Linked DNA regions of Macaca fascicularis. The protein of the gene in region 2 binds, or shares a complex with, the protein of the main gene of each other region. Links are inferred from orthologs where the notes say so. Each region holds a gene or a part of one and is shown on either strand. Other genes may lie near its edges. The genes, in order: DRC12, FBXL13, DRC9, DRC7 and DRC10.

The links.
Region 1: FBXL13 (region 2) and DRC12 share a complex: the UniProt entries of both Homo sapiens proteins name them as parts of the nexin-dynein regulatory complex. The link is inferred for Macaca fascicularis from reciprocal best matches to the Homo sapiens genes FBXL13 and DRC12.
Region 3: FBXL13 (region 2) and DRC9 share a complex: the UniProt entries of both Homo sapiens proteins name them as parts of the nexin-dynein regulatory complex. The link is inferred for Macaca fascicularis from reciprocal best matches to the Homo sapiens genes FBXL13 and DRC9.
Region 4: FBXL13 (region 2) and DRC7 share a complex: the UniProt entries of both Homo sapiens proteins name them as parts of the nexin-dynein regulatory complex. The link is inferred for Macaca fascicularis from reciprocal best matches to the Homo sapiens genes FBXL13 and DRC7.
Region 5: FBXL13 (region 2) and DRC10 share a complex: the UniProt entries of both Homo sapiens proteins name them as parts of the nexin-dynein regulatory complex. The link is inferred for Macaca fascicularis from reciprocal best matches to the Homo sapiens genes FBXL13 and DRC10.

Annotation. Positions count from the first base shown.
Region 1 is NC_088388.1:118,066,431-118,070,665, forward strand, and holds the start of DRC12 (dynein regulatory complex protein 12), read right to left. Parts: upstream 2,808-4,235; 5' UTR 2,765-2,807; intron 2,467-2,764; 5' UTR 2,455-2,466; coding exon 2,394-2,454; intron 1,968-2,393; coding exon 1,893-1,967; intron 824-1,892; coding exon 704-823; intron 1-703. UniProt on the Homo sapiens protein: Component of the nexin-dynein regulatory complex (N-DRC), a key regulator of ciliary/flagellar motility which maintains the alignment and integrity of the distal axoneme and regulates microtubule sliding in motile axonemes.
Region 2 is NC_088377.1:144,707,249-144,711,461, forward strand, and holds the start of FBXL13 (F-box and leucine-rich repeat protein 13), read right to left. Parts: upstream 2,801-4,213; 5' UTR 2,738-2,800; coding exon 2,663-2,737; intron 2,549-2,662; exon of another isoform or gene 2,215-2,548; intron 1-2,214. Other genes in the region: ARMC10 (armadillo repeat-containing protein 10), read left to right, coding at 3,235-3,373. UniProt on the Homo sapiens protein: Substrate-recognition component of the SCF (SKP1-CUL1-F-box protein)-type E3 ubiquitin ligase complex.
Region 3 is NC_088376.1:895,449-898,959, reverse strand, and holds part of DRC9 (dynein regulatory complex protein 9), read right to left. Parts: intron 2,803-3,511; 5' UTR 2,744-2,802; coding exon 2,736-2,743; intron 2,589-2,735; exon of another isoform or gene 2,095-2,588; intron 1,479-2,094; coding exon 1,205-1,478; intron 1-1,204. UniProt on the Homo sapiens protein: Component of the nexin-dynein regulatory complex (N-DRC), a key regulator of ciliary/flagellar motility which maintains the alignment and integrity of the distal axoneme and regulates microtubule sliding in motile axonemes.
Region 4 is NC_088394.1:53,801,422-53,805,421, reverse strand, and holds the start of DRC7 (dynein regulatory complex subunit 7), read right to left. Parts: upstream 2,803-4,000; 5' UTR 2,709-2,802; intron 1,371-2,708; 5' UTR 1,334-1,370; coding exon 1,131-1,333; intron 437-1,130; coding exon 262-436; intron 1-261. UniProt on the Homo sapiens protein: Component of the nexin-dynein regulatory complex (N-DRC) a key regulator of ciliary/flagellar motility which maintains the alignment and integrity of the distal axoneme and regulates microtubule sliding in motile axonemes.
Region 5 is NC_088385.1:120,145,339-120,149,391, forward strand, and holds the start of DRC10 (dynein regulatory complex protein 10), read right to left. Parts: upstream 2,806-4,053; 5' UTR 2,764-2,805; intron 1-2,763. UniProt on the Homo sapiens protein: Component of the nexin-dynein regulatory complex (N-DRC), a key regulator of ciliary/flagellar motility which maintains the alignment and integrity of the distal axoneme and regulates microtubule sliding in motile axonemes.

The DNA.
Region 1 (4,235 bases), on a different chromosome or scaffold from region 2:
TTTTTTTTTTTGAGACGGGGTCTCGCTCTGTCGCCCAGGCTGGAGTGCAGTGGTGCGATCTTGGCTCACTGCAAGCTCCGCCTCCCGGGTTCACCCCCTTCTCCTGCCTCAGTCTCCCGAGTAGCTGGGACTACAGGCACCTGCCACCACACCCGGCTAATTTTTTGCATTTTTAGTAGAGACGGAGTTTCACCATGTTAGCCAGGATGGTCTCGATCTCCTGACCTCGTGATCCGCCCGCCTCGGCCTCCCAAAGTGCTGGGATTACAGGTGTGAGCCACCACTCCCGGCCCATGGTCTTCTTGGTTCTTTTTGTGATTCTGAGAAGCTAGAGACCATGAAAACCTGAGGAAGGGAAAGGAAGCCCAACCCACCTCCCCCACCGTCCAGCTTTGGATGGGGATGCTAGTCCTTCTCCCCTCCCATAGGATGGTTGAGGTGATGGCTATGACTGCATGTGTATCCTACACAGCATCAAGCACATGGCACCAGGCATCCTGGCAGGCCCCTGCCTGGGATCCCAGGAACCTACCTGCCTTTGATTCCTGCAGGATCCTGCCTGATTTGTACTGTTCGGGGAAGACCAAGACCAGGCCTGGCAGTTGGAAGCCCTCCTTGTTTCCCTTCCTTGCATCATCTGACCCTGCTGGTTGTCTTCCTCCAGGCCCCTGTCTCCTGCCCACCTGCTCAACAGACCACACACCTGCATATATGGCCTTCCCTTCACTTCGGGCCCCTTCCAGCTCAGCCTCCACCCTTTGCAGCCTCTGCTTCAGCTGGTCTTCGGAAGCCTTGGCTCGACGGGCTTCATCCCTCCGTACAGCTGTGAGCAGTCCCAGAGCCACTGTCAGGACTGGCTGGGGCCCGCTAAATCAGCCCCCATGAACTTGATGAATTTTGCCCGTCTCTAGAAATCTGGTGGCGGGGCGTCCAGCCTCTTATTCTCTCTCTGGGTTTTGTTGTTTTTGTTTTTTATCCCTAGAGTCTCACAGGCTCCTCATTATTAAGAAGTAAAGACTCTCTCCATGTTCTGCCTATACAAAATAGCTTTCCGGATAGCCCGGCATGGTGGCTCATGCCTGTAATCCCAATATTTTGGGGGGCTTAGGTGGGAGAATTGCTTGAGGCCAGGAGTTTGAGACCTGCCTGGGCAACAGAGTGAGACCTTGTCTCTATAAGAAAAATAAATAGGGCCAGGCGCAGTGGCTCATGCCTGTAATCCCAGCACTTTGGGAGGCCAAGGTGGGAGGATCATGAGGTCAAGAGTTCGAGACCAGCTTGGCCAACATGGTGAAAACCTGTCTCTAATAAGAATACAAAAATTAGCCGGGTGTGGTGGCTGTGTGCCTGTAATCCCAGCTACTTGGGAGGCCGAGGCAGGGGAATCACTTGAGCCTGGGAGGCAGAGGTTGCAGTGAGCCAAGATCGCGCCACTGCACTCCAGCCTGGGCAACAGAGCACAGGACTCTGTCTTAAAAAAAAAGATAGTAAAATAAAATAAAATGAAATAATAAAATAAAATAAATTTTAAAAAAGAAAAATAAATAAATAAATAAATAAAGTAGCTAGGTAGGGTGGTGTGCACCAGCTACTCGTGAAGCTGAGGTGGGAAGATTGTTGGGGTCCAGGAGTTTGAGATTACAGTGAGCTATGATCACACCACTGCAGTCCAGCCTGGGCAATAGAGCAAGATTCTGTCTAAAAAAAAAAAAAGCTTCCTTTATCAACTCTCACTGCCCACCCCTCTCTCATTGTCTTTTTCCACTAGGGGATGGTTAGGGTTCAACTTAGCCCCCCACTGTATCTCCAACTCTCCAATCCCCCAGGATACAGAAATGCCCCATTTCACTTGCCCTGTTGCCCACCCCCATGCCAACTTCTACCCTCCTTACCCAAGTGGTCTCGGAGCAGCTCCTTCTCCAGCACCACCAGCCTGTGCCTGGACTCAGCCTCCACATCTGCACCTGCTGTGGCAAGTGGCAGAGCCTCAGCTCTTCGTGATCTCAGCATTCCTCACTCTCCTTGCGTCCTCGCCCCACACCCTGCACTTTTGCCACAGGAGACCTGAGGACCACTAAATGAGGGATCCATGGTGGCAGAGTCTACTGAAGTCAGCACTGTGTCCTTACCAACCAGCACATAACAGATATGCAAAATACACATGACAAATATATTAGGAAGGCACAAAGCTAGATGGTGCTTAAAGGACAGCGTGAGTGACCATTTCCCCACTTCCTCAGCTCCCTGCATCTGACTTCAAGGACACGAAAGAGGAAGGTCAAGAGAGTTCCATCCTGTCATGTAGAAGGCTGAATTCTCTCTGGAGGAGCTCTGCGTGGTCTTCATGCCAGAACATGGAGAAGCAGGGGGCACCTCCACCCACCATGACTCACCCCAGTTCTTTTTCTTCTGCGCCCCAGATTTCTTCCCTTTTTCTTTGTTTTTAAGTGGCATCTCCTTGCTGTCCTGGGAGAAGGAGGGGACCTTATGTTTAGGTCTGGACACAGGGATGCTTTCCTGACTGAATCAGGAGTCTCAGGGGAGTCTCCTGGTTCTACTCCAAATTTGCATCTCATACTCTTCAGAAAAGTCAGTTCACAGTCTCTTTGGAACCTCAGGCAGGGTTGGGGTCAACGGGGAGGGTGAAGTTTTTTCTCTCAACCAGGCTGACTGTACGGAAGTCACTCCTCACAACTCTCTTTTAGATAAATCCCTGTACCTGCTCCCCTCCCTCTTCCCATCATCCTCAACCCCCTCTTCCTACCTGTAGGATCCTCTCCTGCCAGTGTTGGGGCTCCCTGTGGAGTGACCCACCCGTGGGGAGTGGCAGAGAGAAGGCCCAACTAGCGAGGAGCCTGAGGCGGGGCCTGGGTCCTGGGAGCCAATCCTTGGTGGCAAATTTCTCTTGAGGGCAGGACTGAGGGCTGGAAGGTTGGGTTTCGGGAGGCTGTATGTTGTCCAGGCAACTGGGAAACATGGAGTTGGTAGGAAGGTGGAATGGGCTAAATCAGCTCACAAAGCTTAAAATATCAAGGTCTCAAAGGGTCAGTTCTTTCCTTATCCCAAAACCCTAAGTATAGTTTGAAAAGAAAGGGCTTTGGAGGCCGATTGGTTATGATTCATTGCCACGTAGACATGGCCTGCAATTTGGAGACTTCCAAATTCAGATGTACACATCTGAGATAATATGTTGTGCTGATACAGAGGAAAAGGACTGACAGTAGCCATGTTGGACAATTGACATCCCGAGGTCCCATCAGCAAAATGACATTAGTAGGTTTAAAACTGAAGATCTAAGCTGGGGGCGGTGGCTCATGCCTATAATCCCAACATTTTCAGAAGCTGAGGCAGGAGGATTACTTGAGGCCAGGAGTTCAAGACCAGCCTGGACAACACAGTGAGACCTCATTTCTACAAAAAATTAAAAAATTAGCCTGGCAGGGTGGTGCACACCTGTTAGTCTCAGCTACTCGGGAGGCTGAAGCAGGAGAACCACTTGAGCCTGGGAGGTTGAGGCAGCAGTGAGCTATGATTGCACCACTGCACTCCAGCCTGGATGACAGAGGGAGACCCTGTCTCAAACAAACAAACAAACAAACAAACAAAAACCCCAAACCACTGAAGATCCTCTTCAGTACACTGTGGAATGAGGGTAATAAGTACAGGAATAGGTAGTCGAGGGCGTTTCCCACTTCAGAGAAATGAGACACAAAGGAACAGCAGACCCATGGACTCTAGGGTACTGACCTAGAGGGATGCAAGTGTGCAGGAAAGTGCTCAGGTTAGAGACAAGACATTTGAGTTTGAGTCCCAACTGTGGATATGTAAACTGAGGCAAGCCATTTGACTTTGCTCAGCATCAGTTTCCTGATCTTTAAATGTTTGATTTTGTAGCTCTTGAAAAGCCTGTGTTTTAGCTAGGTGTTTACATGGCTATCTTCTCTCCTAGTTACTTAATCTATTGCTACATTTCCCCATTCCCTTGTGTGGTTGATTTTCAGACAGGTGTTGAGACATTGCTTTGTGAGGCTCCCTGCAGCATAGAGTTGGTTGGGGCTCCCTCTAGTGGACTTGTTTGACCTTCTCCTGAGTTTCCCACATTTTTGCTTTTAAATTATTTACTGGGCAATACTGGGGGTGACTCCCTTTGGGGATACTTCTTAGTGTCCTGCTGGAGCCAGGAGTGGCTGGAATAATTAATGTGGGGGAGAGAGTATGACAGGTGGCCCTCCCTT
Region 2 (4,213 bases):
TATCTCGACCAAAAACACAAAAATTAGCTGAGCATGATGACAGGTGCCTGTAGTCCCAGCTACTTGGAAGGCTGAAGCAGGAGAATCGCTTGAACCCAGGAGGTGGATGTTGCAGTGAGCCGAGATGGCGCCACTGCACTCTAGCCTGGACGACAGAGCAAGACTCCATCTCAAAAAAGAAAAAAAAAAAAAAGTATAAAACCCATCTGGGAAATTGAGTCAGATGAATAAATGTACAGACAGAATAGATATGAGGCAGAATGGAATTCATCTTGATAGTCTCTTAGGAGAAATAGGTAATGAGTTTAAGGTGGGTGTGTGGGGCCCAGAAGACTGCTCCCTTGTTCTTGCTGCTAGTGTGGTAGCAGAGGTGAGTGAAGGACTTCTCAGGAGAATATGATCTTAGACAATGGGGAATGCATATAAGGGCCTCCTCTCTGGGTGCAGAACAATGTGGCAAGCCAGGAGCGCTCTCACCCAGAGGGGGAACTGGGGACTGCCTCATTGCAGCTTTGTGATGTTATAGTAACTGGCAGGCTAGATGAGAAGAGGCCACCATTTCCTTGATGTACCCTCAACTCAAGTCTGTTTCTTCCACCTGCTGCACCGCCATATCACAGACTGAATCACCACTCAGAATGGCCGCACCCTGAATTGTAAATATAAACATTCCACTTTCTGACCCCCACCTCCTATGTTTCCAGCTCCCTCATTTAATTACTCCCTCTACTTCTCTTCACTCACCTCTTAGGAGTCTCCATTTTCTGTACATATATCAGTATCATATCCTTTTCTCATTTCCCACTGAGTCCTTAGAGTCCTTGGCCCATCACTTCAGATACTCAGGAGCTTAGCTCCCTAACCTACTGCCTTTCTATTCTATTAACATATGCCTGGCAAATTCCTATCCCAGACGAAGTCAACTTGGTTATCTCTGTACCTACATCTGGTTTACTGACTGCTACTTGACAAAAATCACACAACCGGGAAGATGGGTACCATTCTCCCTACATATTTTCAAGCACAATTGTATAGAGGTACAACATGAAACTCACTATAATAAATTAAAACAATACAGCTATGGGTAGAGCAAAAAGTTAGAATTCCCCGTTTCCTCCCCCAAAACCATTCCACAAGACATCTGTTATTAACAATTTGGCATAGGTTCTATGCATGCACTATTGTCTTAAAGATAGATACACACACATATATGTACACATAAACACATATACAACATACATGAAATCAGATAGCTAGAGCAGAATGGACAGTTGCTAAGCAACTTGCACTTTTTCTTTTTTACTTAATAATATGTGTTGGGAGCCAGCCATATGGTGTATGCCTGTAGTCCTAGCTACTTGGGAGGCTGAGGTGGGAGGATGGCTTGAGCCCAGGAGTTTGAGGCTGCAGCGAGCTAGGATGGAGCCACTACACTCTAGCCTGGGTGGCAGACCAACACCCCGTGTCTCGATAATAATAATATGTCTTGGAGGGCATTTCTTCTTAGTAGGTACAGATATACTTTATTCTACATAATACCTCATTCGCTTAGTCACTCTAGGTCATTTACTACTTCTACTATGAAACAAAGTTATAATGAACATCCTTGTACATCCTTCTGAACACATGTGCAAGTATTTCTCTAAAGTAGATCCCTAGAAGTGGAAATGCTTGGTTAAAGGGTACATGTATTTAACATTTTAATAAATATTTCTCAATTGCCATCCAAAAAGGAGACGGGGGTCTCTACCAAATTGCCCTCCCAACCGCCTAGGATCGTTACTACCCTCAGCTGGGACCTCCTTTTTCCTTCCCTAGACATCTCTCTTCCTCATTCCCCGCATAGCGTATCTTTGCTCGAACCTCCTACTGCACCAACAGCCCCATCCCCACTCAAACACGCACATTCTTGGAAAATATCTCATCAACTATTTGTAGAGAAAAAAAGAGGTCAACAAAGGCAAACGTTCTCAGCTTCCAACCCCCAAAAACCTACAAAACCTAGTATCTATCCCTTCCTGTCTTCCTTCCCTCCTATTACAATGGGGGTGGAAGGGTAGCCCTTCCTGTTGTCTAAAGGCAATCCCGGTTGAGAGGGTCCTTACCTTCACAAAGGGCTGACTACACTGACCAAAGGTATCAGCTTCCACTCTCCCCTCAGCTAACCTCCATCTATTTTCTGCACTCACGGCTCCATGGAAACCTCAGGCTCACCTTGGGCAGAATCCAGGTCCTTATCTTAGGTGACTAGAGCCTACTCCCTACTTCTGACAACACTCTTCATAATGACAGTCTGCTGATTTTCCTCCTCAGCCTCTCTGGCATTTCTTTCTCACTCCTCCACTCCTCAGGCACTTCTTGTTCAAACCTTAAAAGCTGAGTTTGGGGTTTCCGATCTGGGCCTTGTGCTCATTTCCCCTGGGAGATGTGACCCATTCCCCACTTGCAGCTACCATCACCCTCTGTCTTCTCTCTGATCAGCATCTTCAGCCCAGATCGCCTACAAGTCCGAGTTTGACTTCACTTTCTCGCATTCCGCCCCGCCTTCTCCCTCCTCCCTCAACTCCTAAACCTAGTCCCTCCTCCGAGACGTCTTCCCTGACTCCTCCCCCTTCTAATTCCCCACCGTCGGTCCGTGTCCGCCGCCACGCGTGTCCAGTACCTCGCAGACCTGAGGAATATAGTTCTCCTTGAAGTAGTTCTTCAGCCTCGGGTTGGCATTGCGTAGGGAGGCCATGGCCCAAGGCCTGACGGAGAAGCTGCGCTGGTACCCTCCCCGCGCTGGGACTAGGAGCCGGGTGCGTGCGGGCGTTGTCCTGGCAACCAGGGGGCGGGGCTGGACGCGGCACCGCCCCTCGCTCCGCTGCCCGGGGCAGGAGGGAGGGAGGCTTGCTTCATGCCACAGGAGAAGCGACGGGAAGCTCGGCTCCGGGTTCAGGGCCCCGGCGTCTCCGCGTGGGGCGCACCGTCCTAGCCTCCCCTCCTGGCGTCCAGCGCCCCGCCCCGCCTCGCCTGGGAGAAGCCGCCCGGAGGCGCCGGGCTGGAGTGGGCGGTTATAGGCTTTGAGCTGAGCCGTTTCCGGGAGGCGGAGCTCAGACCCCATTTCCTTTCTCCACATCCAGGTCGCGCGCGGTTTGTTGTGGCGGCTAGGCCCGCGTGATCTGGAGACCTCCGCGCTGGCCCCCAGGAGCCTCCTGCCCTGGCCCAGCGCGGCGGCTCTGCCGCGGCTGCAGAATGGGTGGCCCCCGGGGCGCGGGCTGGGTGGCGGCGGGCCTGCTCCTCGGCGCCGGCGCCTGCTACTGCATTTACAGACTGACCCGGGGTCGGCGGCGGGGCGACCGCGAGCTCGGGATGCGCCCTTCCAAGTCTGCAGGTGAGACCGCGGGGTGCCCGGCAGGTGGGCGGGGACTGGGCAGGGGGGCTTCCCGGGCTTGGGTGGTGGCTTGCGTGTCCTCGGGGTAAGATGAGGAGCCGAGCTAGAGGGAGAGGCAGTACTTGTGTGGGTGCATGGTGCTGCGCCGCCCCCGCCGCCCATTCTTTGTTCACTATCCTGATATGAAAACTTGTCCTGGCTTTCCTGCCTGAGCTTTGCGCCACAGTGGAGGATTAGGTTTCTTAAAAGCCTGTTGATGGCCTCTCACTTTAAAGCTTGTTCCGGGCCTTTGTGTAATTAAAGGGATTCTGCCGATTGTGGAAGGGCTGTTGAGGGGCCCGGAGCCATAAGTGAAGCTCTGCTTGCAAGTGTCCTGGAAGAAGGGACGTCAAAGGGGCAGTTGTGCGGGCGCTCGGCCCGGCCTCAGAGGGGAGGTACCTGGGAGTCACAGTGGTCCAAGACCTCCCAGCCTGGTGTGTGTTTTGGAAATGGGAACAGTTGTCTGCGCGAGACACACCCTCCCAGCGGACAAATGCCAGATTCGGTTTCTGTCCAAAAGTTGATCGGTACGGTAAAACCCTCCAGAGGCATGTTTCACATCATGGAAGCCGTTAGGGAAATAATTTAAAATAACATATCTGCCATCCAAGAAACTCCTGTCCACAATTGTAGAAGAGAACTAAACAGCGTCATTGTTGAGTAAGCACAAACTAGATTGTCTCAAGCATCACGGGCAATTTGCTAATGGGATAGCAAGAAGAATTCTAATTCCTTTAAGTGTAGCTGGACAGATAGAACCGATTTCGTATTACGTACGTGTTCTCAAGATAAAAACTAATT
Region 3 (3,511 bases), on a different chromosome or scaffold from region 2:
TTATTGAAATGTACAAGAGCTAAACATGTATAAAGACTTTGCTCACTACTAAATTAATTTTCTAATAACTCAGTGCTGCTTCACAGAGCAGTCCAAAACACGATTGAAAATGTAAGGGCTTGGCTAACCAGGTGAAACCCCGTCTCTGCTAAAAATACAAAACACTAGCCGGGCGCGGTGGCGGCGCCTGTGGTCCCAGCACTTTGGGAGGCCGAGACGGGCGGATCACGAGGTCAGGAGATCGAGACCATCCTGGCTAACACGGTGAAACCCCGTCTCTACTAAAAAATACAAAAAACTAGCCGGGCGAGGTGGCGGCGCCTGTGGTCCCAGCTACTCGGGAGGCTGAGGCCGGAGAATGGCGTGAACCCGGGAGGCGGAGCTTGCAGTGAGCTGAGATCCGGCCACTGCACTCCAGCCTGGGCCATAGAGCGAGACTCCGTCTCAAAAAAAAAAAAAAAAAAAAAAAAAGAAAATGTAATGGCTGACACAGTAATGCGGCTGGATATTCAGGAAGGCAAGTTACAACGTATTCACCAATGACAAGTCATTTTAGATTAAAGCGAAGTGAAGGCCGGAGCTGAACTTCCTCCCCCTAGTGTTCAGTTAGGGTTCAGCAGCTGAGAAACACAAGCTGCGCGGACGGCTTAGTCATTCCCTCTCTTCGGTATTGTACTTATACTGATTTCCGTACAGGCCTTTTTGGATAATGCCAACATAGTGGAAAAGGATATTCTGTCCGGTAATGTACCTTCAGTCATGACCATTTCACTCCATCAATTGAGAGTACATATCTCAGATAGGTAGTGTAGCCCTTTATCTGAAATAAAGGTGCTATTTCCCAAGTGATATTTAATGGCACCAGCCTGGACAACACAGTGAGATCCCATCTCTACAGAACTTTTATAAAAAATTAGCCAGGTGTGGTAGTGCAGACCTGTAGTCCCAGCTACCCAGGAGACTGAGGTGGGAGGATCACTTGAGCCTGGGAGGTAAAGGTCGCAGTCAGCCGTGACAGCACCCCTACACTCCAGGCTAGGCCACAGAGCGAGACCCTGTCAGAAAAAAAAAAAAAAAAAAAAGAAGAAGGAAAGAGAGAGAGAAAGATAAATCAATACATTTAATGAGATAGGTACTATAAATGAGGGAGAAATAAAAAATAAAGCAAAAGTAACTCATAGTCTCATCGTGAGCGGGTAAATACCATGCAGACGCTCTGTCTTCCTTCGTACTGAATGGGCATGATGTAGTTTAGAATAGAGAGCTGGTCTGTGGTGTCCTCCAGAACTGCCGAGATCCTCAGCACATCTGGAAGCGAGAGTGGCTCTCGGGTTTCTAGGATTTCTGGGATGGTTTCTACGTCTGTTTCTTTAGGTAGTCCGTCTTCTTCTACGGTACTAGGTGGTTTGCCTGTCACTGACACTGTCATCTCAGAATGCCAAACTTTTGGAGGAAGGTTTGAGTCTTCCAGGCTGTCTCTAAGGAAAGAATAAAGAAAAAATAAGTCAGCGACCAATATTTAAACATTACTTTAACTCAAAAGTACAGGCAGCAATGTGCTGGGCTCCTGTGATATTCTTGTTGTCATATAATATAACCTAGATTAAAAAAAAAAAAAGTAGGAGTTTGAGTGTGATTCTGCTAAATATCTTCCATTTTGACCAACCAAAGGCAAACAACTTACTTTTTTTTTTTTTCCTTTTTTTGAGACGGAGTTTCGCTCTTGTTGCCCAGGCTGGAGTGCAATGGCGTGATCTCAGCTCACCGCAAGCTCTGCCTCCCAGGTTCAAGCGATTCTTCTGCCTCAGCCTCCTGAGTAGCTGGGACTACAGGCGCCCGCCACCACACCCGGCTAACTTTGTGTTTTTAGTAGAGACGGGCTTTCTCCATGTTGGTCAGGTTGGTCTTGAAGTCCCAACCTCAGGTGATCCACCCAGCTCAGCCTCCCAAAGTGCTGGGATTACAGGTGTGAGCCACCACACCTGACCTACTGTTTAATAAAGCTATGTAGCTCATGCAATTTGGCTATGCTGATCAATTTGAATTTGAGCCAAAATTAACTTTTTTTCCCTAGGAGTATCTTTAGATGCTAACCAAAAGTGTCTCCTGATGAGTGAAAAACAGAATGTGGTATCCAGCCTCCAAGGTGGCCCAAATGATTCTCACTTTCTAGTATTAATGCTTCTGTGTAGTCTACGCCACACTGAGTAGGACCAGCCTATGTAACCGGAAGGTTATTGTGGCAATGACGGAGTGGGACTTCCACGGCTAAGTGATAAAAGACATCGCAGCTTCTGCCTTCCTCTCTCAAACCTCTCAGTGTGAGGGATGACAGCTGCTTCGACATGAGGACATTTCAGCAGCACTGTGGACACACCCATGAGGGAAAGGAACAAAGGCCTCTTGCCGGCAGCCTGCACCAACTTGCCAGCTCTGTCAATGAACCACCTTGGCAGTGGATACTCCAGCCCCCATCAGGTCTTCAGATCATTGCCATCATTGCCACCCGTGGCCAACTTCACGTGCAGGAGAGACCCCAAGCCAGCACCATCCAGCTAACCTGCTCCTAACCTTGGGACCTGCAGAAACTGTGGGAAAGAATAAATGTTTGTATTTTAAGTCACTAAGTTCTGGGGTGATCTGTCACACAGCAGTAGATAAGGTATACACAGACCTTTCACAGAAGGCATAATTTAAATACATGTATACAAAAAACATAGGAATTGTAAACATACTCTTCCATTCTCCCGTAGTTCCGTTACCCTCCGTGGAATATTTATAATCTCACAGAAGTGCGGCTACCTAAAATGGGAAGGAAACACTGAGATTAGTTTATGCAAGTCTTCAATGATGTTTCAGTTATTTCAATATCATTTTATTCAGAGAAAATTAAATGATTACGGGAGCTGTGACTGTCACCTCTTTGTGCAGAGTGGAGCAGTCTCAGAGGCGAAAGAAACATCGACATCACGGACCGCAGGTCTATGAAGAAGTTGACCGAATTCTTACTGCTCTACCAAACTCAAGACACATGCACTCTGTGGGCCTCTTCTTAAGGTAAATTAATGTTCAACCTGGTTTTAGAGTGTTCCATGGTATCACAATTTTAATTGGTAATCTCTATATACTTGATTTTTTCTATGATTCTAATTACTCTAACATTTAATTAGATCACTCAATCCATCTTATCCGCCAGATAACGGAATTTGCTCCACGTGTGCTTAGAGGAATAATTGAGATGACATTTAGAAAAACTGTATTAATTGGGGCCGGGTGCGGTGGCTCACGCCTGGAATCCCAGCACTTTGGGAGGCCGAGGCGGGTGGATCACAAGGTCAGGAGATCGAGACCATCCTGGCCAACATGGTGAAACCCCGTCTCTACTAAAAAATGCAAAAAATTAGCCAGGCATGGTGGCGGGCGCCTGTAGTCCCAGCTACTCGGGAGGCTGAAGCAGGAGAATGGCGTGAACCCGGGAGGTGGAGCTTGCAGTGAGCCGAGATTGCACCAC
Region 4 (4,000 bases), on a different chromosome or scaffold from region 2:
TTTCCCTGCAGCAATCAGCAGCTGCCTCTTTAGGCGAGGCATGGGGTCTCCAGGCCACCACCACCCTCCAGGGTACTCTGCACTGAGCCTGCTGAGGCCTGCTGGCATTGGAGTTTATGTTTCCCCCAGACTAGAAGCACTCCAGTCCACAGGAGGTCTGTGATTTGGCCCATTGCCCTTGGAGAACCCACCCCACTTCCCTGTGCCCTCTGCTCTCCAGCCCCAGGCTCCCTGGCCCTGCCCTCAACATGCCAGCCTTACAGGCACTTCGCACTCGTTCAGGGGGTGCAGGAAGAGGGGCACGCGATCCGGGCACAGATGGCTGTACTGGCGGGAAAAGTTGTCTGCCACCTGCAGCAGGTGCTCCTCCTTGGGTGTGTTGGTTTTGTAGGAAACAGGCAGCTTGGAGATGTCAATAGTGTCCTTGGTAAAGGCCCTGTGCCACAAGAGGGACGGCATTAGGGAAGCCATGCCTGGTACTCAGGAGCCCTGGTTCCACTGAGTTGCCATTGGCTCTATCCCTTCCTCATTTAATCCTCACAGCTACTGAGAAAGCAGGTATCATTAACATCTGCTTATTTATTTATTATTTATTTATTTATTTATATTTAAGAGACAGGTCTTGCTCTGTTGCCCAGGCTGGAGTGCGGTAGCACAGTCATAGCTCACTGCAGCCTTGAACTCCTGGGCTTAAGTGACCCTCCCACCTCAGCCTCCCAAGTAGCTGGGACTAGAGGCACCACCACACCTGGCTAATTTTTGTATTTTTTGTCGAGATAGATGGGGGTCTCGCTATGTTGCCCGGGCTCGTCTCGAACTCCTGGTCTCAAGCGATCCTCCCACCTCTTCCTTCTAAAGTGCTGGGACTACAGATGTGAGCCACAGCGCCCGGCCAGCACCTGCACTTTTAGACAGATAAAGGCACTGAGGCACCGAGAGGCTGAGTGACTTGCCCAAGGTCACACAGCTAGTCGGGGGAGCGTGGACACTCGGCCCAGGCCATTTGAAAGCAGAAAGCCTTCACTCTTAACTGGTCACCCTGCCAGACCAGTCGCCACCACTCTGCCTGGGTCTCCCTGTGCCCAGCCCCGGTCTGCCCTTGCCCAGAGCCCCCACACTGCCACACTCACGGGAGCTCCGCTGAGATGGGGATCTGGATCTCCGACAGCTTCTTCTCCAGGTCTCTGAGCATCTCCTGTGTCAAGGTGGTTTCCTCCTTCCGCACCTCAACTGGCCTCATCATTTTCTCGGTCCTCGCCCATTCAGCCCGCTTGGCCGCCTCCTCCCGCTCTGCCTCCTCCTCCTCCTCCACCTTCTCCCTCAGGACCTCCATTCTGGAGCGTCTCTGGCTGTCTGGAGACAGAATGTCTCTGTGGGGAAGGGGAAGTATACGCCATGGCTGACTGTCAGACCAGGCAGGAGCCACCAACACCACTGGGGCATCCCTGGGAGGCCTGGGAGATGGTTTTGGGGAGGTGTAGAGCACATAGGAAGGCAGTGATTCCCTCTTTGACTTCCTTTCAAACATGGAGAAGATCTCTGTTTGATGCTACCCCATCTGTAACACCTTTCTAATCCTGGCAAATATTCCTTTACAACAAAGACAAAGCAGGCCTCCGGCTGGAAGCCATCATCAGGACAGGACAGGGCAGGACACATGTCAATTTGCTTTAAGTATATTTGACAGTTATCCTTTTTTAAATTTTTTATGTTTTTGAGACAAGGTCTCACTCTGTCACCCAGGCTTGGAGTGCAGTAGCGCAAACATGGCTCACTGCAGCATCAAACCCCCAGGCTCAAGCAATCCTCCCACCTCAGCCTCCCCAGTAGCTGAGACCACAGGCACGCACCACCACACCTGGCTATTTTTTTTTTTTTTGGTAGAGACAGGGTCTGGCTATGTTGCCCAAGCTTAAACTCCTGGCCTCAAGTGATCTTCCTGCTTTGGCCTCCCAAAGTGCTGGGATTACCGGCATGAGCCATTGTGCCAGCTGACAGTTATCAATGACAAGTACTGCTAATGCTGTGGGGACTACTATAGTATTGTCACGTTTCCTATTTAAATAAATGAATTGGCTGTGTGCGGTGGCTCATGCCTGTAGTCCCAGCACTTTGGGAGGCTGAGGCAGGTGGATCACTTGAGGTCAGGAGTTCGAGACCAGCCTGGCCAATATGGCGAAACCCCGTCTCTACTAAAAATACAAAAAATTAGCCAGGCATGGTGGTGCACGCCTGTAATCCCAGCTATTCAGGAGTCTGAGGCAGCAGAATCACTTGAACCTGGGAGGCGGAGGTTGCAATAAGTCGAGATCACACCACTGCACTCTAGCCTGGGCAACAGAGTGAGACTCCATCTCAGATAAATAATAAATAAATAAATACATGAATAAATAAATTGGTTTAAAGAAAATCCTAACAGTAAGGTAATATGGACTACAACCCACCCAAAAATGAAGACAGCAGGTGAATGATATCTCACCTGACCAAATTGGGAACCAAGGCACAGAGAGTGAAGGTGCGTGCACCAGGGCACACAAACAGGAAGTGGGGGGTGGGGTAACAGAGCCTGCTCTCTCTTGGCCAAGGCCTGTGTCGGCCCAGAGAACAGGCTTCATTCTGTGATCCACGCAGAGACGCCACATGTGTTCACCATATGTCCTGCGACCACAGAGCAGAGCCTCACTGAGCGGGTACTGCTAGTCACCTACCCAAAGATCCAGTCTCCTCTTCTATACGGCAGAACCCCAGTTGTGTGGGGTCAGCAGTGTGCCTGGTTTGAATTGCTCAGCTTCCCAGATCCTCTTGTAGCTAGAGGTGGCCCTGTGATGTGACCTGGTTCTGGCCAATGAGATGTGGGCAGAAGTTATCGGGGCACCCTCTGCCCTTCTCCTCCTCCCACCTGGAATGTGGAGATAAAGTGGGAGGTGGGGCAGCCCAGGTGAGACCATGAGGTGACCACACATGAGGGCTAAAGTAGCCTGCTAAGGATGGCAGGGCCAAGAGACCGGGGACCTGTGGTGCCACAGAGGACTGGAGTGCCACCTCCAGCCTTTCCTTATATAAGAAATGTCAGCCTCTATGGGGGTCCCTGATCCACACCGCCCAACGCCACCCCAGCTGATCCAGCCTCCCAGCTGGGGTCTTTCTATTTCTCTCCTCCAACATCTGTTTTCCTTATAGTAAACAGGGGTCCAGAGAGGAGGAAAACAAAGGAAACCCACAGGACAAAGGGCGCGAGTAGTGAGGAGAAAAAAGCAGAATCCCCTCGACTTTGTAATCATCCCCCACTTCCCTGGGTGAAGCCAGGAACAAGAGGGCAGAAGGGAGCAGCAGATAAAGGCTGGCCCCATTCCCCACGCCACACCCACGCGGGCCGCCTCGGCCTCTTAGGGAGGTGAGTCACTGGCCACCAGCCAGGACTGAGCCCGGTTGGGGAAACCCTGGCTTTGCCAATAGCTCCTGCTGGACCCTTGGGTCACTGTCTGCGCCTTTCTGTGCCTCAGTTTCTCTTTACAATAGGAAGGGAGGGCAGATATTTTCTGTCCAATTCTGACATTCTGTGTTCTGGGACTCAGGAGGGGATGAATGCTCATCTGGCTGGAGCCCACCCAAGCCCAGGTGGGCCAACAGCATTCAGGACCCCAGATCCTCAGGGGAGAACCTCTAGCCAAGCAGCACTTCCCAGTCATCAGATCCATTTATCGGCCTCTTGGTCCCAGAGAGAATAAGCACAGGGAGGGCAGTCATCACCATTACAAGGCACTTACAGTTTGCTGAACGCCTACTGTGTGCCAGGCCCTGTGCTTAGGGTTGTACGGAGATCATCTCACTTATCCTCTACTGACTCTGTGAGGCAGACACTTAGGACACCCGCTTTGCAGATGAGAAGACTGGGGCCCAGAGAGGTTGAGTGCACTGCTTAAGGTCACAGCTAGTAAGTAGCAGGTCTGGGATTTGAGCCCAAGTATTTCTGGTTGTGAAACCTGTGCATCTCAGGCTA
Region 5 (4,053 bases), on a different chromosome or scaffold from region 2:
ATTAGCAGCACATGATGGCGGGCACCTGTAATCCCAGCTACCTGGTAGGCTGAGGCAGGAGAATTGCTTGGACCCAAGAGGCGTAGGTTGCAGTGAGCTGAGATTGCACCACTGCATTCCAGCCTGGGCAACAGAGAGGGGCTCTGTCTCAAAAACAAAACAAACAAAAAACAGCCTATCTCAAACCCCTCCTGCTCTCAGGCACTAATGTATAATGTTACTTTATGTCAGAAACCAACCCCCCATGAACAATTTCTCCCTGGATTAACAATTTCTCATTCTTTAGGTCTTAGCTCAATGGCTACCCCTTCTCAGACAGGAACACACAGCACTTTACAACCTGTGGAAATTCTCTCACCTTTCCTGCATGGTACTAACCACGCGTGTAATTTTTTTTTTTACAGCTCTATTGAGGTGTAATTTACATTACCATAAAATTCACCCATTGTAAGTATAAAACTCAATGACTATTTTTGTAAATGTATCTAAAGTTGCCACATCAGTTTTAGATACAATCCTGTTTTAGAACATTTCTATCACTCCACCAAATTCCCATGAGCTAATCTGCAAACGATCTCTGTTTCCACTCACATTTTTTTGTTGTAGTTGTTTTGTTTTTGAGACTGAGTCTCGCTCTGTTGCCCAGGCTGGAGTACAGTGGCGTGATCTCAGCTCACTGCAACCTCCACCTTCCAGATTCAAGCAATTCTCGTGCCACTGCACTCCAACCTGGGCAACAACACAAAACTCCATCTCAAAAAAAAAAGAAAAGAAAAATCGTAAAGCTCAGATCAAAATAATGAAATACTCATTTGCTTTTTTTTTTTTTTTTGAGACAGAGTCTCACTCTATTGCCCAGGCTGGAATGCAGTGGCATGATCTCGGCTCACTGCAACCTCCGCCTCCTAGGTTCAAGTGATTCTCCTGCCTCAGCCTCCCAAGTAGCTGGGAATACAGGGGCCCGCCAGCATGCCCTGCTAATTTTTGTATTTTTAGTAGAGACGGGGTTTTGCTATGTTGGCCAGGCTGGTCTCGAACTCCTGACCTCAGGTGATCCACCTGCCTGTGCCTCCCACAGTGCTGGGATTACAGGCATGAGCCACTGTGCCTGGCCTATGTTTAACTTTTTAAGAAACTGCCAACTATATTTCAGATTGGTGGTACCAATTGGTATTCTGCTGTACCTACCAGCAATATATGAAAGCTAGTTTGTTTATCTACATGATGATATTTGGGATTGTCTTTTTGATTTTTAAATGTCTACTTAACTCTTTTGCCCATTAAAAAAATGGAGTTGTCCTCTTGAGTTATAAGAGTTATTTTTATTTTCTACATACAAGTCTATTATAAGACACATGAGATTTGCAAATATTTCCTCCATGTCTGTGTCTGTGGCTGATCTTTTCATTTTCTTACGAAAATATCTTTTGAACCTCAAAGTTTTTCTTTTTTATATATTTTTTTGAGACAGGGTTTTTCACTCTGTGGCCCAGGCTGGAGTGCAGCAGTGCAATCATGGCTCACTACAACCTCCGCCTCTTGGGTTCAAGCGATTCTTCCACCTCAGCCTTATTTATTTATTTATTTATTTATTTATTTATTTATTGAGATGGAGCCTCGCTCTATCACCCCCGCGGGAGTGCAGTGGCACCATCTCGGCTCACTGCAACCTCCACCACCCGGGTTCAAGAAATTCTCCTGCCTCAGCCTCCCGAGTAGATGGGATCACAGGCATGCACCACCATGCCCAGCTAATTTTTGTATTTTTAGTAGAGACAGGGCTTCACCATGTTGGCCAGGCTGGTCTCAAACTCCTGGCCTCAGGTGATCCGCCGCTCGGCCTCCCAAATTGTTGGGATTGCAGATTGAGCCACTGTGCCCACCCCTCAGCCTCATTTAATCATCACAAGAAACTCTCTATCTTTAGTAGGTACAAAGAGATTACATTTTAAGGACGGAGATGGGAAATAAATTCCAAAGTTAGGACAAAGGCAAAAGTGGTATAATAAAAATTACCTAATTTATTTATTTATTTGGGACAGAGTCCTGCTCTGTTGCGGAGGATGGAGTGCAATGGCGCGATCTTGGTTTACTGCAACCTCGGTCTCCCGGGTTCAAGTGATTCTCGTGCCTTAGCCTCCCGAGTAGCTGGGATTACAGGTGCACCACCATGCCCAGCTAATTTTTGTATTTTCAGTAGAGATGAGGTTTCACTATATTGGCCAGGCTGGTCTAGAACTCCTGACCTTTAGTGATCTGCCCGCCTTGGCCTCCCAAAGTACTGGGATTACAGGCGTGAGTCACCGCGCTAGGCAAAAACAACAACAACAACAACAACAACAAAAACAAACAAAAACTACCTAATTTAAACACTTAAGTGAGATGGCCCGCTCACCGAGGAACGTATGGTCGTTGGGTGGAATGGGAGGGGACTTATAAACCCCCCTCCCACCCACAGCTCCCATGTTTGACTTGAAATAAGTTAACTACGATGTGACTCTGCTTGACTGGTGTCCTTGTCGTTTTAGGGATGAGGGAGTGGGGCCATGAAGTGGGCAGGTAGAAGGGGAAGAATGGAGGCCGGCTCCCTGCAGGCTGTGGAGCGAGAGGTCCAGACTGAGGCAGGGGCTGAGGGACGGGGTCCTGAAGCTGAGACGGGATCGCAGCGGGGGCTACCAATTTCTCAGGGAGCCAAAGGACATCGGGCTGAACCCCATTCCACATCTCCCCCGATCCGCGACCCTTTCCCACCTGGTTACTCACCCGCTCTGACGGCTCCAGGTTTCCCTAGCCACAGTTACCGCCGCGGTCCCAGCGTTGCGAGGTTACCCGCCAATCTCAGAAGGCGGGACTCTGTGTCTGACTGACCTTTCTTTTCACCATTCAATTTCTTGTTCCGCTCAATTGTCCCCACCTCCTGAAGTCTGACCAATCAGAAGCACCGCCATTTTGACCTTGCACCAATGGAAAGACTTGGGACTCCCTCTGGGTTGGACTCAACGATTAAGGCGGGGAAGATGGGAGGAGAAAGGGGCGTGGATTCTTCGTCCCGCCCCTTCTTAAGGAGGCGGGCAGGGAGTACTGCCTCGGCTGCGGGCGAGACCTGCGGAAAGACGTGAGAATTGACCAATCAGAGCTCATCATGGTAGCCCAGTTAGCCAGTAGGACGCTGTGAAGGGGAAATGGGGCGGGGCGAGCGGGGTTGAGAGGACGGTAGGCGGCGGATGGGAGAGCTGGCGCAGCTACCCTGGTGGCGGTGGCTGAAGTGGCGGCGGCTGCGGCGGCTGCAACAGCTTCGGGCTCGGGGTTTTGGCGGCGGCGCCGGCGGGCTGGGCTGCGTGGTACGGACCCCGGCGCGCGGTCCGGGTTGCTGGGGCGGCGCGTGTAAGAATCCGAGGGATGCGAGGACTTGGCCAGAGGGAGAGGGCAGGGATCAGGGTCAGAGGGCGCGGAGTAAGGGGTTGCGGCGCGACACTCTGGTGTGGGAGGTGGGCTGAATGGGCCCAGAGAGGGCGCGGGGAAGTCTCCGCCGCGCTTCTCTCCGTCCAGCCCGGGCCGGGGCTTTGCACCCTCTCTCCTTGCCCCCGACTTCTTGGGGCGACCCTCACGTGGGCGCCCAGCCAGGGGCTGGGAGCACGCGGAGCTGGAGCCAGCGCTCCTGCCTCCTTCTTGCTCCCTCCCTCGCTCTTCTCCCTGGCGCCCTCAGGTGACCCCGCAGGAGTCTCGTGCCCGGGTCAGGCTGCCCGAGCGGACAGCGGCATGGCAGCTGGCCCTCTTCCCCTAGGCCCTTTCCCCAGGGCTGGCCATTTGGGTCCTCTGTAGAGGCAGAAGCAAAGCCCGCGGAGGGAACACTGGACCAGGACTCAGGAGTCCCGGGTTCTAGCCCCGCTCCTGCACTGTGTGACCTTGGGCAAGTCTCTTCCCCTCTCTGGACCTCATTTTTGTCTCGCTGGACAAATGACGTGTTTGAATTCAAATCAGGGTACTGGTTCTAGTCGTAGGTGTATATAGGGTCATGGTTAAGCAGGAAGGTTCCCTGATTCAGACTACCTG